3 linked regions of the Rattus norvegicus genome follow. The protein of the gene in region 1 purifies or fractionates together with the protein of each later gene. This does not show direct contact. Links are inferred from orthologs where the notes say so. Each region holds a gene or a part of one and is shown in the gene's direction. Other genes may lie near its edges. The genes, in order: Slmap, Strip1 and Strn3.

Evidence for each region.
Region 2: the proteins of Slmap (region 1) and Strip1 purify together in Homo sapiens (affinity purification with mass spectrometry; 4 studies listed by BioGRID and IntAct, with this or other methods). This does not show direct contact. The link is inferred for Rattus norvegicus from reciprocal best matches to the Homo sapiens genes SLMAP and STRIP1.
Region 3: the proteins of Slmap (region 1) and Strn3 purify together in Homo sapiens (affinity purification with mass spectrometry; 5 studies listed by BioGRID and IntAct, with this or other methods). This does not show direct contact. The link is inferred for Rattus norvegicus from reciprocal best matches to the Homo sapiens genes SLMAP and STRN3.

Annotation. Positions count from the first base shown.
Region 1 is NC_086034.1:1,788,972-1,793,301, reverse strand, and holds the start of Slmap (sarcolemmal membrane-associated protein), read left to right. Parts: upstream 1-1,399; 5' UTR 1,400-1,483; intron 1,484-1,700; 5' UTR 1,701-2,785; coding exon 2,786-2,983; intron 2,984-4,330. UniProt on the Homo sapiens protein: Associates with the striatin-interacting phosphatase and kinase (STRIPAK) core complex, forming the extended (SIKE1:SLMAP)STRIPAK complex.
Region 2 is NC_086020.1:197,935,967-197,939,559, reverse strand, and holds the end of Strip1 (striatin-interacting protein 1), read left to right. Parts: intron 1-83; coding exon 84-188; intron 189-700; coding exon 701-905; intron 906-2,063; coding exon 2,064-2,311; 3' UTR 2,312-2,991; downstream 2,992-3,593. UniProt on the Homo sapiens protein: Plays a role in the regulation of cell morphology and cytoskeletal organization. Required in the cortical actin filament dynamics and cell shape. Part of the striatin-interacting phosphatase and kinase (STRIPAK) complexes.
Region 3 is NC_086024.1:74,824,364-74,828,009, reverse strand, and holds part of Strn3 (striatin-3), read left to right. Parts: intron 1-1,299; coding exon 1,300-1,426; intron 1,427-2,953; coding exon 2,954-3,095; intron 3,096-3,646. UniProt on the Homo sapiens protein: Calmodulin-binding scaffolding protein which is the center of the striatin-interacting phosphatase and kinase (STRIPAK) complexes.

The DNA of each region.
Region 1 (4,330 bases):
TATACAGCCTCATTTTGCTACTTATCCCTCTTCCTGGCAATTTAATAAACCATTCAGCAAATTTGGTATTTATTATAGTCCTCCAACCATCCTTCATTCAGCTTTTGTTGCCTCTCCTAGGAGGATGTCCCTGTCTCCCTTTAGAAGAGTTCCGAATATATCAGAGTTGTTACCTTATTTTGTTCCTTCAGTCTCAAACCCACTACACTGGTTATGTAACCAGAGGGCAGAGACTAAGGCTGTGCTCATCCTTGTCTCCTGGACACAGCATAGTGTCACAGAAGCAGTGAAATGAATGCTCTGTTAAACAATGTGGTCTGACACCACCGAAAGCCTCTTTACAAAGGGGTTGTATATTGTTGTTTAGTTATAGAAGAGAAAAAGGGTCCTAAAGAAGTTTAAAGACATGTCCAACGTTTCATAGAGAAGTCTGTGGTCATAGGAATCTCAAGAATGAAGGCGACACTGATTTGACAAGATTAAGATTCTCTGCAGTCTTTCCCTAAGGATTTCATTCAGCTCTGGCCACCGTTTTTTCCTTCTTCGGAACAATGACTCCTTACATACTGGTCTTTCTCCTCTCGGTTCCCAGGCTTAACACATACTTCAAGATTCTTAGTTGGGTAATTCCCCGTATTTTCCTATTAGAAACTTTTGACCTTGACCCCTCTTTGGAAATGTGTTTTAAAACTTTCAAGTAGGTTGTGGTAGTACATGCCTTTAATCCCAGCATTCTGGAGGCAGTAGCAGGTAGATTTCTGAGTTCTAGGCCAGCTACTTAAAGAGCTCCTGGACAGCAGGAGAAACCCTGTCTCTAACTCCACAGTCACCCCCCCCCCCCCTAACATTCTGTTCTCACTAATCCAGGTAAGAATCCACGAAGGAGTTCTGAGAAACATCCTTGCATCAGAGAAAAGGACAGGAATTTGGGATGGAATTCATAAAGCACGGAGAATTTAGCAGAGGGAGGTCATCAAATCAGGCGTCATCAAATCTAGGGACTTGTGGAATTTGGTCATAGGAAGTGCAGGGGTGAGTGACTCAGTTGCCCACAGCTACGGGGGCTGCTAATGAGTCTTTGACTGGAACTAGCCTCTTTACGTGTTAGTATTTTCAGTGAGAGCTACAGAAAATACATTTAGTACACGTTGGTACTTTCTTACTCATAAGTTGCCACTGTATGTTTTCCAAACATTCAACCTCTCAAAGTTTCTCTTGCCCTTAACGAAAATGGTCATTAAGGTTGTTCGGAGCTTTGAAGCTTCTGGCCCTTAACAAAGATGGCGCCGGGGGTCATGTTAAAAATAAGCTTGCCCTCTTCTCTGCCAGTGACAAACATGGCTTCCACGGCGTCGGTCACATGACATCCCAGACTACGGCACGGGAGACGGCGGAGGAGGGCCCTTGAAAAGGGTGCGCGTTCCCGTAGCGGTGGACCCGGTAGGTTTCAGTCAGAGTCACTATGGCGGCCAACGCTGGCAAGGTAAGCTGAGGCGGCGGCGGAGGTGGCGGTGGCGGCGAGGGAGGCAGGACCCGACGTTCCGTCCTGGCTCCGGAATCCCGTAGCCTGACCCAGGAGAGGTCGCCCGAGGTCGGAGCAAGCAGCCGGGGACTGGCGGGGGCTGGCTGAAGGGGGCGAGGGCTGAGGCGAGCGGGCGCCGGTTCCTGACTGCCGTTTGTTTTGGTGTTTCCCCCACTAGGTCGGAAAGTTTCCTGCCTCGTCCGCCACCGCCTGAGCTTGCCGCACTGGCTGCGAGTGGAGGAGGCTGCGGCGGACCCAGCCCCGGCCTCCAGGCCTCTCCCTCCACCTCCCGGCCAGCCTCCCTCCCCCACACCGTCGTCCTCCGGGAGCTGCCAGTCCCTGAGATGCGACCCTCGCGAGGACGCTCCTGAGGGGAGGTGGCCCATGTGCTGAGCAGCAGAGCCCAGAGCTCAAGGAACCAACTTCCCGCCGGCCCGGGCGCCCAAGCCTCCCTGGGGTAGCTCCTCGCTCTGTCCGCACCGGCCTGCAGAGCCGGGTCCCCGCCCTGGTCCGGGGACACCCGCCAGGTGCTCGGGACTCGCGATCCAGGGACCGCCCGTATCCCGGCCGCCCTCCCACGCCTCCAGCCCGGGATCGCAGCCTCGGCTCACGCTGGGCCGGGGACCCCTGCCACTCCCGGGCGGCCTCGGCGCAGCAGGGCAATGCAGCCCGGCCCGGTGGCCCTCTAGCCCTCCTCGTCGTCTGTCCCCGCACCTCTTCTCATCCCCGAGGCCCCTGAGGACCGGCGGTGGCTGCCCGGAGGTCCTTCACTCCTCTTCCTCGGGCCCCGGAGGACCTTCCTGGCTGAGCCGAGTCAACCCTCTTCATGCTGCAGTGCCGCACCGTTTCCGCTACCGAAGGGGAGAAGTGGCCGGGATCTCAAACAAAACACAAGAATTTGTGTGTGACTCATCTGCTCGGATACCTCCCGTCCCCAAACTGTCTTCCAGGAGTTTCCTTGGCCGAAGCTGCCCAATGTTTGAGCTTTTTCTTCCTAGGGAAGATGGACTGAAAGCTGCTAGTTGGGGACTTTTTTTGGTCAAGGAGCCTCTGTATTTTAAAGGAGGTGATGGGGCTTGCTCTGGCTTGTCTTCCTGCCCAATTGAAGAGTTGTTGATGTTCACTGGTTATGCTTAGACAATGCACAGTTTGTTTTAATTTAAAAATTTTGGGGGGATAGGGGTGTAGGCTTGTGAAGAGCATTCCGAACCTGGAGGAGCTCCTCGTTATCCCTGGTCCAGACACCCCCCCAGCCTGTCCTCGATGCCGTCAGCCTTGGCCATCTTCACTTGCCGCCCGAACTCACACCCGTTTCAGGAGCGACATGTCTACCTGGACGAGCCCATCAAGATCGGCCGCTCAGTGGCACGCTGTCGACCAGCGCAGAATAATGCCACCTTTGACTGCAAAGTGCTGTCAAGGAACCATGCTCTCGTCTGGTTTGATCACAAGACGAGCAAGGTAATGTCAGTACAGTGTTTGACAGTCTTTACTTTTCTTTCCTTTTGCCCTCTCTGAGAGGTTTAATGTAAACTCGATCTTAGGGTTTGTTCCCAGAGGACACTTTTCTGCGAAGTCTTGGAATCAGCTTTTTGTGTATCCGAATTCTAGTAGAAATTGAATCGAAGTGGTTGAATGAAAAACAGAGAAGGTATTGTTACTAAATGTTTCAGTAGGGCGATGGCTTCTTGATAACTTGGTCATTCCCAGTGAAATCCCAAACCTTAATTCGTTTAGGAAAGGTAGATAGTGAAACGTGACCTCTTACTTTCAGCCCTTTTAGAAAGGGGAGCCTGCAGTTCAGTGCTTGATTAAGCAAGCACCAGTTCCCAAAGCAATGCAGGAATCTGTGGCCTCTGTTACAGTGAGGCTCAAGTGTCTGTGCTGAAATGTAGTTAACACATAGCTTGTAGTTGAATTCAATTCAGGGTCTGTCTGGTAGGATAACTGGAGTGTAAACTTAATGTTTTTGTAAGGGTTGACACTTACTTGCCTCGATGAAATGATTTGTAATATTAAAGGCAATTTAGTTAAGCTAGAGTAATTTTAACTACATCTTCGGAATTCTGTTTACAAGTTGGATGAACAGAAATCTATGCTCATAAGAGTCACTTTTTAATTTCTTTGGTAAATAATGCGTAGTTATCTGATGATATGCAGAAATTAGTATTGATTAGTTTATTCTTAGATTATATCCAATATTGTCAGTTATCATTTTTTTTTTTTTTTAAAGACAGGGACTAGCTGGCCTGGAGCTTATTCTATTGATCAGGCTGACCTCAAACTCAGAGGTTTACCTGCCTCTGCCTCTCAGGTGCTAGAATTAAAGGTCACCATGCTTGGCCTTACTTTTAATCCAATTTAGCTTGTTTATCTTGGCACTGTACTTTGCTAGTTACTTATATATATATATTTTTAAAAAGGATCCTTTTAGTTTTTCAAGAATGTGTATATATGGAGAATATTTTAAAGAACTGATCTTTGAGCCTAAACCTAAGGTTTTGGTTGAACTACTGAATTAATTCCAACTCAAACTAAGTTACATAAGACTAATAGGACCGTCTCCAGTTTTGTCTTCTGACTTTTTGCCCCCTCTTTCTGACTGACATGATTAATTTTTTTTTTTTAAGAGAAGAATTTGTGCTCAAGAGTGGTGTTTTGAAATGAAAGAAACTTGAGCCTCTAGAGGAAGAAAGTAATACTAGTACAGCTACTGAATTAAGGAATTACTAAATAAACTTTTTTTTTGGTTCTTTTTTTTCGGAGCTGGGGACCGAACCCAGGGCCTTGCACTTCCTAGTCAAGTGC
Region 2 (3,593 bases), on another chromosome or scaffold:
CAGGCCTTTGGACATTGCACTGAGCAGCCAGTGAACAGCCTGCAGCCGTGACAGCTGTGTTTGTGTCTGGCCTTTCCCTGTAGGAAGCTGGTGACAACAACCAGTTTTGCTGGAGGAATCTCTTTTCTTGCATCAATCTGCTTCGGATCTTGAACAAGCTAACGAAGTGGAAACACTCAAGGACTATGGTGAGTGGTGAGCAACCAGCCTGGGATGTGCTGTGTCCCCTCCACCTGGGACAGGTTCTCAGGTGCGGCTTGCCTGGCAGCATTGTCCTCATTCAGGTCTGCAGACTTCTGGTTTTTTGATGAGTACAAGCAGAAGCTGGAAGAGACTCTCAGTCATGACCTCAAACAAACCTCCTGGATGGAGACACTTTGTCCTCCTCATCCTGGGTGGGAAATGATAGCCAGGAGTCAGGAACCACCTTAACCCTGGGTTGCCCATGGAACAAGGAAGGTCCATGAGTTCTCAGAAACCAGATTACAGAGTGGCCCGTAACTAGGGTGACCAACCTTTGTGGTTCGCCTATAGCTCTGCTAGTTGTAGTGCTTAAAGCTCCAGATGCCAGCAGACTAGTGAGTTCAAGAGAAACTGCATGGCTTGTCATCCCGTTTGCTACCCCAGAAGTGCTAAGGGACCGTGCAGTGGCACTCACACTTACTGCTTTCTCACCATGGCTGCCACCATGGCCGCCCAGATGCTGGTGGTGTTCAAGTCGGCGCCCATCCTGAAGCGGGCCCTGAAGGTGAAACAGGCCATGATGCAGCTCTATGTGCTGAAGCTGCTCAAGGTGCAGACCAAGTATTTGGGACGACAGTGGCGCAAGAGCAACATGAAGACGATGTCTGCCATCTACCAGAAGGTGCGGCACCGGCTGAACGACGACTGGGCTTACGGCAATGGTGAGGCCACCTGCGGCGCGGGCGGGAGAGGGTAGGGCAGGGGACGCCTTGGACTCCTTGCCTGTGGTACCTTCATTTTCTCTGCCCTTAGGCATTGAGCAGGGCCTGTATCTAGTTTTTGTGGCTCTGGGCAAGACTTTGGGAAGCTGCTGAGAATCTGCATTCATCTGTTTCTCTGTCCCTCCACTCTAAATTCCATCTTTTCTAGAATTTGCCGTAAGATTCTGCCCACTCCTCATCTCTGCTGCAGCCTCCTGGCCTACTACCTCCTGGCCTACTACCTCCTGGCTGCCTGAGTGCAGTAGATCCTCACTGGCTCTGCTCTAGCTTCTCCTCCCACTGTCGGCCTCAGATTTGGCTCCTGTAATCTTTTCAACATACGCATCCTGTACTGTTGCCTCCTGAGTAAAATTCCTGATTAGCTTTCTAATTCCCTTAGGAATGAAATCAAACGTTAAGACAGGGACGGGTGCTCACTCACTCACTCGCCTGGTCCCATAGTCTGTGGCTTTCTTTTCTGTCACACCCAAGTCTCTGTCACACCCAAGACTCCAGACAGAGTATGACCCTCAGTACCTGCTGAGCATTGCTCCCAGGAGCGCTGCAGATCCCAGCAGCCACAGATAGCCACGCTCTCCAGTGTCCTGCTGAGCCTGCAGACAGACTGCACAGGGGCAGGGGAAACCATCCTTAGTCCCTGAGCGTTAGCAGTGTTCTTCCTGCTTCTGGGCCTCTGTAGACTGCTGGCTGTCTACAGCGTCTTCTCCCAGTCTGCTGTTGTCTGTGTGGGTGTTGCTGTGTTACATCTCTCTGTAACTCTATACCTGGCATCTGGGCTCAAGGTGGTGCATGACGTTTGTCATGGAGGTGAGAGAATGAGCAGATGAGGGACTGTAGGGTTATGTGTCTGTCCTCTGGAGCCAAGGGGAGGCTGTGCTTAATAAAGAGTTTGGTTCCCCCTCCTGGAGGGGCAGGAGGCTTTCCCATCTATCTGCAAGTTTCTTTTTCAGCGTTAAGGATTGTCTCCTTAGATTTGACCGTACTTCTGGGAAAGAATTTCTATTCAGCTTTCTGAGGGTTTGGGAGTGATCCTTTTGGTTAAAATCATGAGGAGCTATATAGGGCTGAATCCTAACTGGGTTTTCCTGCTTTTCCCAGATCTCGATGCCCGGCCATGGGACTTCCAAGCAGAGGAGTGTGCTCTCCGTGCCAACATTGAACGCTTCAATGCCCGGCGCTATGACCGGACCCACAGCAACCCTGACTTCTTGCCAGTGGACAATTGCCTGCAGAGCGTCTTGGGCCAACGGGTAGATCTTCCTGAGGACTTCCAGATGAACTATGACCTATGGCTAGAAAGGGAGGTCTTCTCTAAGCCCATTTCCTGGGAAGAGCTGCTGCAGTGAGGAGGGATGAAAAAGACTGTGATCTGTCTCATACCCGAGGGACTGTCCTTGCCATTGCTGCAGTGCTCCTGTTGCCCTCCAGGTGGCAGCACAACTCCATTGAGTCCTCCAGAACCAGTCCTGGGCCCGTGAGTGAACCCAGGTTAGCCTCTGGTTGATTCCCAGCATCCTACTCAGGAGCAGTCATCTCCAAGCTGGGATCTACTCTTCCTCCACTTCCCCAGTTTCTACCCTCCTCCCTTGGATTGACTGCGTGAAACTCATTTCACAAGTAGCCCCAGGCTGGGAAAAGCTGAGAAGGGCCTTGTGTCCCTTCTCATCGGCAGCTGTGTCTTGAGGCCATGCTGACTCCTGAGCTGCTTTGGCACGTCAGTTGGTCAAGAAGGAGGGGTGGCATGAGGGCCAGGAACAGAGTCAGCGCCTTGGTTGTGCTCTGGGGGTATCTCGTGTCATTCCGGTATCCTGCTGAGTTTTGTCCAGAAGTGATAGATACCACAGCCTCTGCACCCTGGTTTTGGATGTGGTCAAAAGTGGAGTGAGGCTTCCTGAAGCCAGAGGTGCTGGTTTCTTCTTGATTGTCATGGCCTGTAAATATACAAAACTCTGTGTGGTCTCATGTCATGGTGGGGTTTTTAATGTGTTTGTGTATTCTGTTTACATTAAAAGAAAGCAAAACTGTCCCTGTCGCCTTGTCTGTAGATGCAGGTTCTGGGGACTGGGGATGTAGCACAGGTGATCGAGTGCTTACTTAGCAGGTAAGAAGCCCTGGGTTCCATCCGCACACAGCACCACATAGGACAGGCATAGCAGTGCACACACTTGTAATCTCAGCACTTGAGAGGGGGAAGCAGGCGAATCAGAAGTTCTAGGTCAGCTTTGGCTAAATAGTTCAAGTTCAGTCTAGGCTGTGTAAGGTTCTCTCATAGAAATGTCTGAAAATTGTCAGTTTTCAAAAGTATCTCTTCCTCCGCCCAGCTAAGTGCTTGCCTGTCTTCCTGCCTTTCCTACTAGTGTACAGGGAAGGAGGACGTGGTACTTTGGTCATCTACCCACGTCAGTCTGGATTACTTTAAGGTTCTGGGTTTGCTGGGGATCAGTGTTCCTGACTCCTGGGCTTGCTATAGTTTCAGTAGAAACTTCAGATTTCTCAGGATGACATTCCTTAGCTGCCCTCACACAAGCCAGTTAGTGCTAGGTTTAAGTGAAGTCACTTGGTTCGGTCTTCACTGGGACAGAGGTGTTTGGGACAAGGAGGAGAGTTAGTTGTGTGTATCAAAGGAAT
Region 3 (3,646 bases), on another chromosome or scaffold:
GTCTTCAAGACGTTTCTGGGTTTGGGAGTTAGACAGAATTTCTACACAAACTGTCAGCATTCGCAGTTGGATCCGAGGAAGGTATTGCACGACCATGAGCCTCATCCAGTAAAGGGTTTACAGCCCTCATGGGGCTGAGGTTTGGTCTTTTGACATCACTCATGTCTTAATTTTTTTGCTTTTTCGTTTATATTTGAGACATGGTTCTTTCTCTAGGTGGCTCTGGCTGGCCTGTAACTCACAGATCTTCCTGCCTCTGCCACCCAACCACTGGGATCAAAGACATGCATGACCACACCAAGCCTGACCAGTTCTGTCAACAATGCACATCTACTCAGAACTTCCTCTGCTCCCCACAGATTGGTATATCTTGTGTAATATATGTTTAATAATTTTAAATATGGGCAGGTTTAATAAATTTAGCTTTTGTTTTACTATTTAGTCTTCAAATATTTAGGCTAAAGTATAAGTGGTTGTAGTTATAAAAAAATTGCTAAATTGCTTTTTCTGGTATTTTTCAGAAATTATAGCATGCTTGATCATTTAATCTTAGTAGATTGCTTTTCTTTTTAAAGACTTATTTTTAATTTTGCCGGTTGTGTATGTGGAGGGGTGTGGGTGTTATGCACATATAAATGTAAATGCATGCAGAGGCCCAAAGAGGGCATTATATCCACTAGAGCTAAAGCTTTACACTATTGTGAGCTCCTGATGTGGGTGTTGGGACCCAAACTCAGGTCCCCTGAAAGATCTCTTACCTGTAGTCTTATCTGCTGAGCCATTTCCAGTCCCTAGATTTCATTTTCTAGTAGCATTTACCTAAAATGTTTTAGACAAAAAGCTTTGGATAAAACTCATTAAATTCAGAACATTCCTTATTTTAATTGCAGAGCACAAATAATCTTTAAAGATACTCTAGAATAAAAATTTTAGGTAATACATTATAATGATTGGGATGTCTTGGACCAGGAGCCTCCTGGAAGGAGGATCAGGAGTTAAAAATTATTTTCATCTACATAATGAATTGAGACTAATCTGAACTATGTAAGATCTTATCTCACAACAACAAAAAATTAGGTTGTGTTTGAAATACAAATGTTAGCTTAAGGTAGTTTTAAACTAGAAATTAGAAGGGTCAGGATGTGGCTTATTGATTTAACACTTGTCTAGCATGTTTGACATCCTGGGTTCAATTCATAGTATCCCTAGATAATGAGAAGGATCCAGGAATTAGGAAGCAGGAAGAAATATCAGAGTCAATCTTTGAAATAGTTGGGACCATTTTTCCCTTTTCTACAGGCCCTCTGGTGATGTTCTTGAGACATTCAATTTCTTAGAAAATGCCGATGACAGTGACGAAGAAGAAAATGACATGATTGAGGGCATCCCGGAAGGAAAAGACAAACTTCGGATCCATAAGCACAAAGTAGGAGACTTAGGTTATTCCTGTATACAGTCATTGTTTTGGTCGTCCCTCGAAAGGTTTATGATAATTGACAGCTCTTACTCAGTTCACGTTCATGTTGCGGGGATTATGCTTCCATGTATGATCTAAGAGGAGTCTGTTTCTAAAGCATTTGTCCAGTGCTTTGCACCTTTTTTTTTTTTTTAATAAAGTAACACTCCTCAATCTTATCCCAGTGTGGAGTCACACTGAAGTTTATATTTTCATGTCCAGTATCACATGGGAGATGAATGAACAGAAACCGTAGTGTAAAGGCTCCCACCTTGGGAGAGAGACTGATGTATGGATAGTTAATATGTGCCAGCATTCTGGTTATTTGGTGAGGATTAATAAAAGGTGACTTTTCTTCAAACACTAAGAAACAGACTTGATGTATTTTAGTAGTAGATGGGGAGTTAATTCTACTGGACCACAAGTAGACTATGTCCCATTGGTAAGCATCAAAGTAGTAATGTTCAATATTTAAGTGTATTTAAAAAAAATAGAGAGGGCTGAGGCTGTGTGTCAGAGTATTTGATTAGTATGCACCAATTCCTGCATTCAGCCTCAGCACCATAGTGGATGTGGTAGTTCAACCCTTGAGATGTGAGGGCAGGAAGATAGAGAGTTCAAGGATGTCGTCACCTATATAGTGAGTTTGAAATCATTTGGCTTCTAGATACCCTTGATACCCTGTCTATCAAAAAAGGAAAAAAAAATGTGAGTAAATTCAATTGTACTACTTGGAGATTTTGTAGTAATACAGAAAAAAAGGCAAGTGTTTGTCAAAAGCTTTCAATCTACAAAAGCAGTTTCAACCTTTCTCTAGCTTTTCACATGTATGATATACTCTATTGGGTAGAGATTTACTTCTTAAAACTTGCTATGTGCTGTGTAATATGTATGGAGGAGTGTGTATGTGCTGCAGCACATATGTGAAGTGCAACTTTGTGCAGTTTTCTCCTCCCACCTTTATTTGGTTTATAAAGATAAAATTCAGGCCATCAGGCAGCTGCTTTTCCTGCGGAGCCATTTCAGAAACCCAAGATGTTGATTTTTCTTACTATTTTGTTCTGGGAGGTAGGTTGCTTTTATTATTTGTTGCACAACTAAGTTTATTCTTAATAACTAAGTGGTTATTCTCTGCTTCCGTGAATCAGAGCTAGTACAGATTTCTCAGTGTCATCAGCAATTTAAGATAGCTTAGATGATTCTTTAGTAGAGATCATCTGTGAACCTACTCTAATTAAAGAAACTCTTGAGTAGAACTCTGGCCTTTCCCAGCACCCTCCTCGCTTGCTTCGTTTGTTACAAGTGATCTTCATACAGCAGTGTTGAATTGTTTATCTAGGGCATAGTTTGAGACTTATCAATCCTAGGGGAAAGGAGAGTTGTGGATCTGAATAACTTTAAAGTAGATGTGTAAGTACTGTTGGGTGGAAATACTAAATGAACTCTTTAAAATATAGACTAAAAAGTATTAATTATTGGCTTATCTTCTCTTTACAGATAGGTAATGAAGGTTTAGCTGCTGACTTAACTGATGATCCTGATACTGAGGAAGCACTGAAAGAATTCGACTTTTTAGTGACTGCAGAAGATGGTGAAGGGGCTGGTGAAGCACGGAGTTCAGGGGATGGTACAGAATGGGGTAAGGGGACAAAGAATCCCAGGGTGGGGGAAGTCTGCCTGTTATAGGTGGCTTTTTACTATGTACTGTGTGAGCTCTGTGTGTCTGAGTGTATGGTAGCAGGTAAATTAAGATCAAGGATACGTGGTATTAATAATCAGAGCTATTTGGTTCTAGTTTATTAGATTTTGTGACTGAGATTTTCATTATGTGGCTTTTGATTTCTGAAGTTGATCTTGAAGTGTTCTGTTGATTTACAAATTTATCTTTTCCCTCCAACAGATCTTTTTAAAACAAGAATCATTCATTTTTATTCATGCCCATCATTTAATTTTAGGTAATCAAGGCAGTCGAGAATTTACTTCCTGTATGTCCATATGCTGTTACCTGTTTTAAGTGCTGGGTATGAATAAAATGGCTTAATTGAAGTTAATTCTCTAATTAATGAAGTTAATTCTGACTCATAACCCTAACAATGAGCAAGATTTAGTGAGGATATTACCCTTACTGCATGTAATATTCTCTGCACGTATGGCCTCTGTTTAGGGCCTAAACTTTGAAAGTGATATATA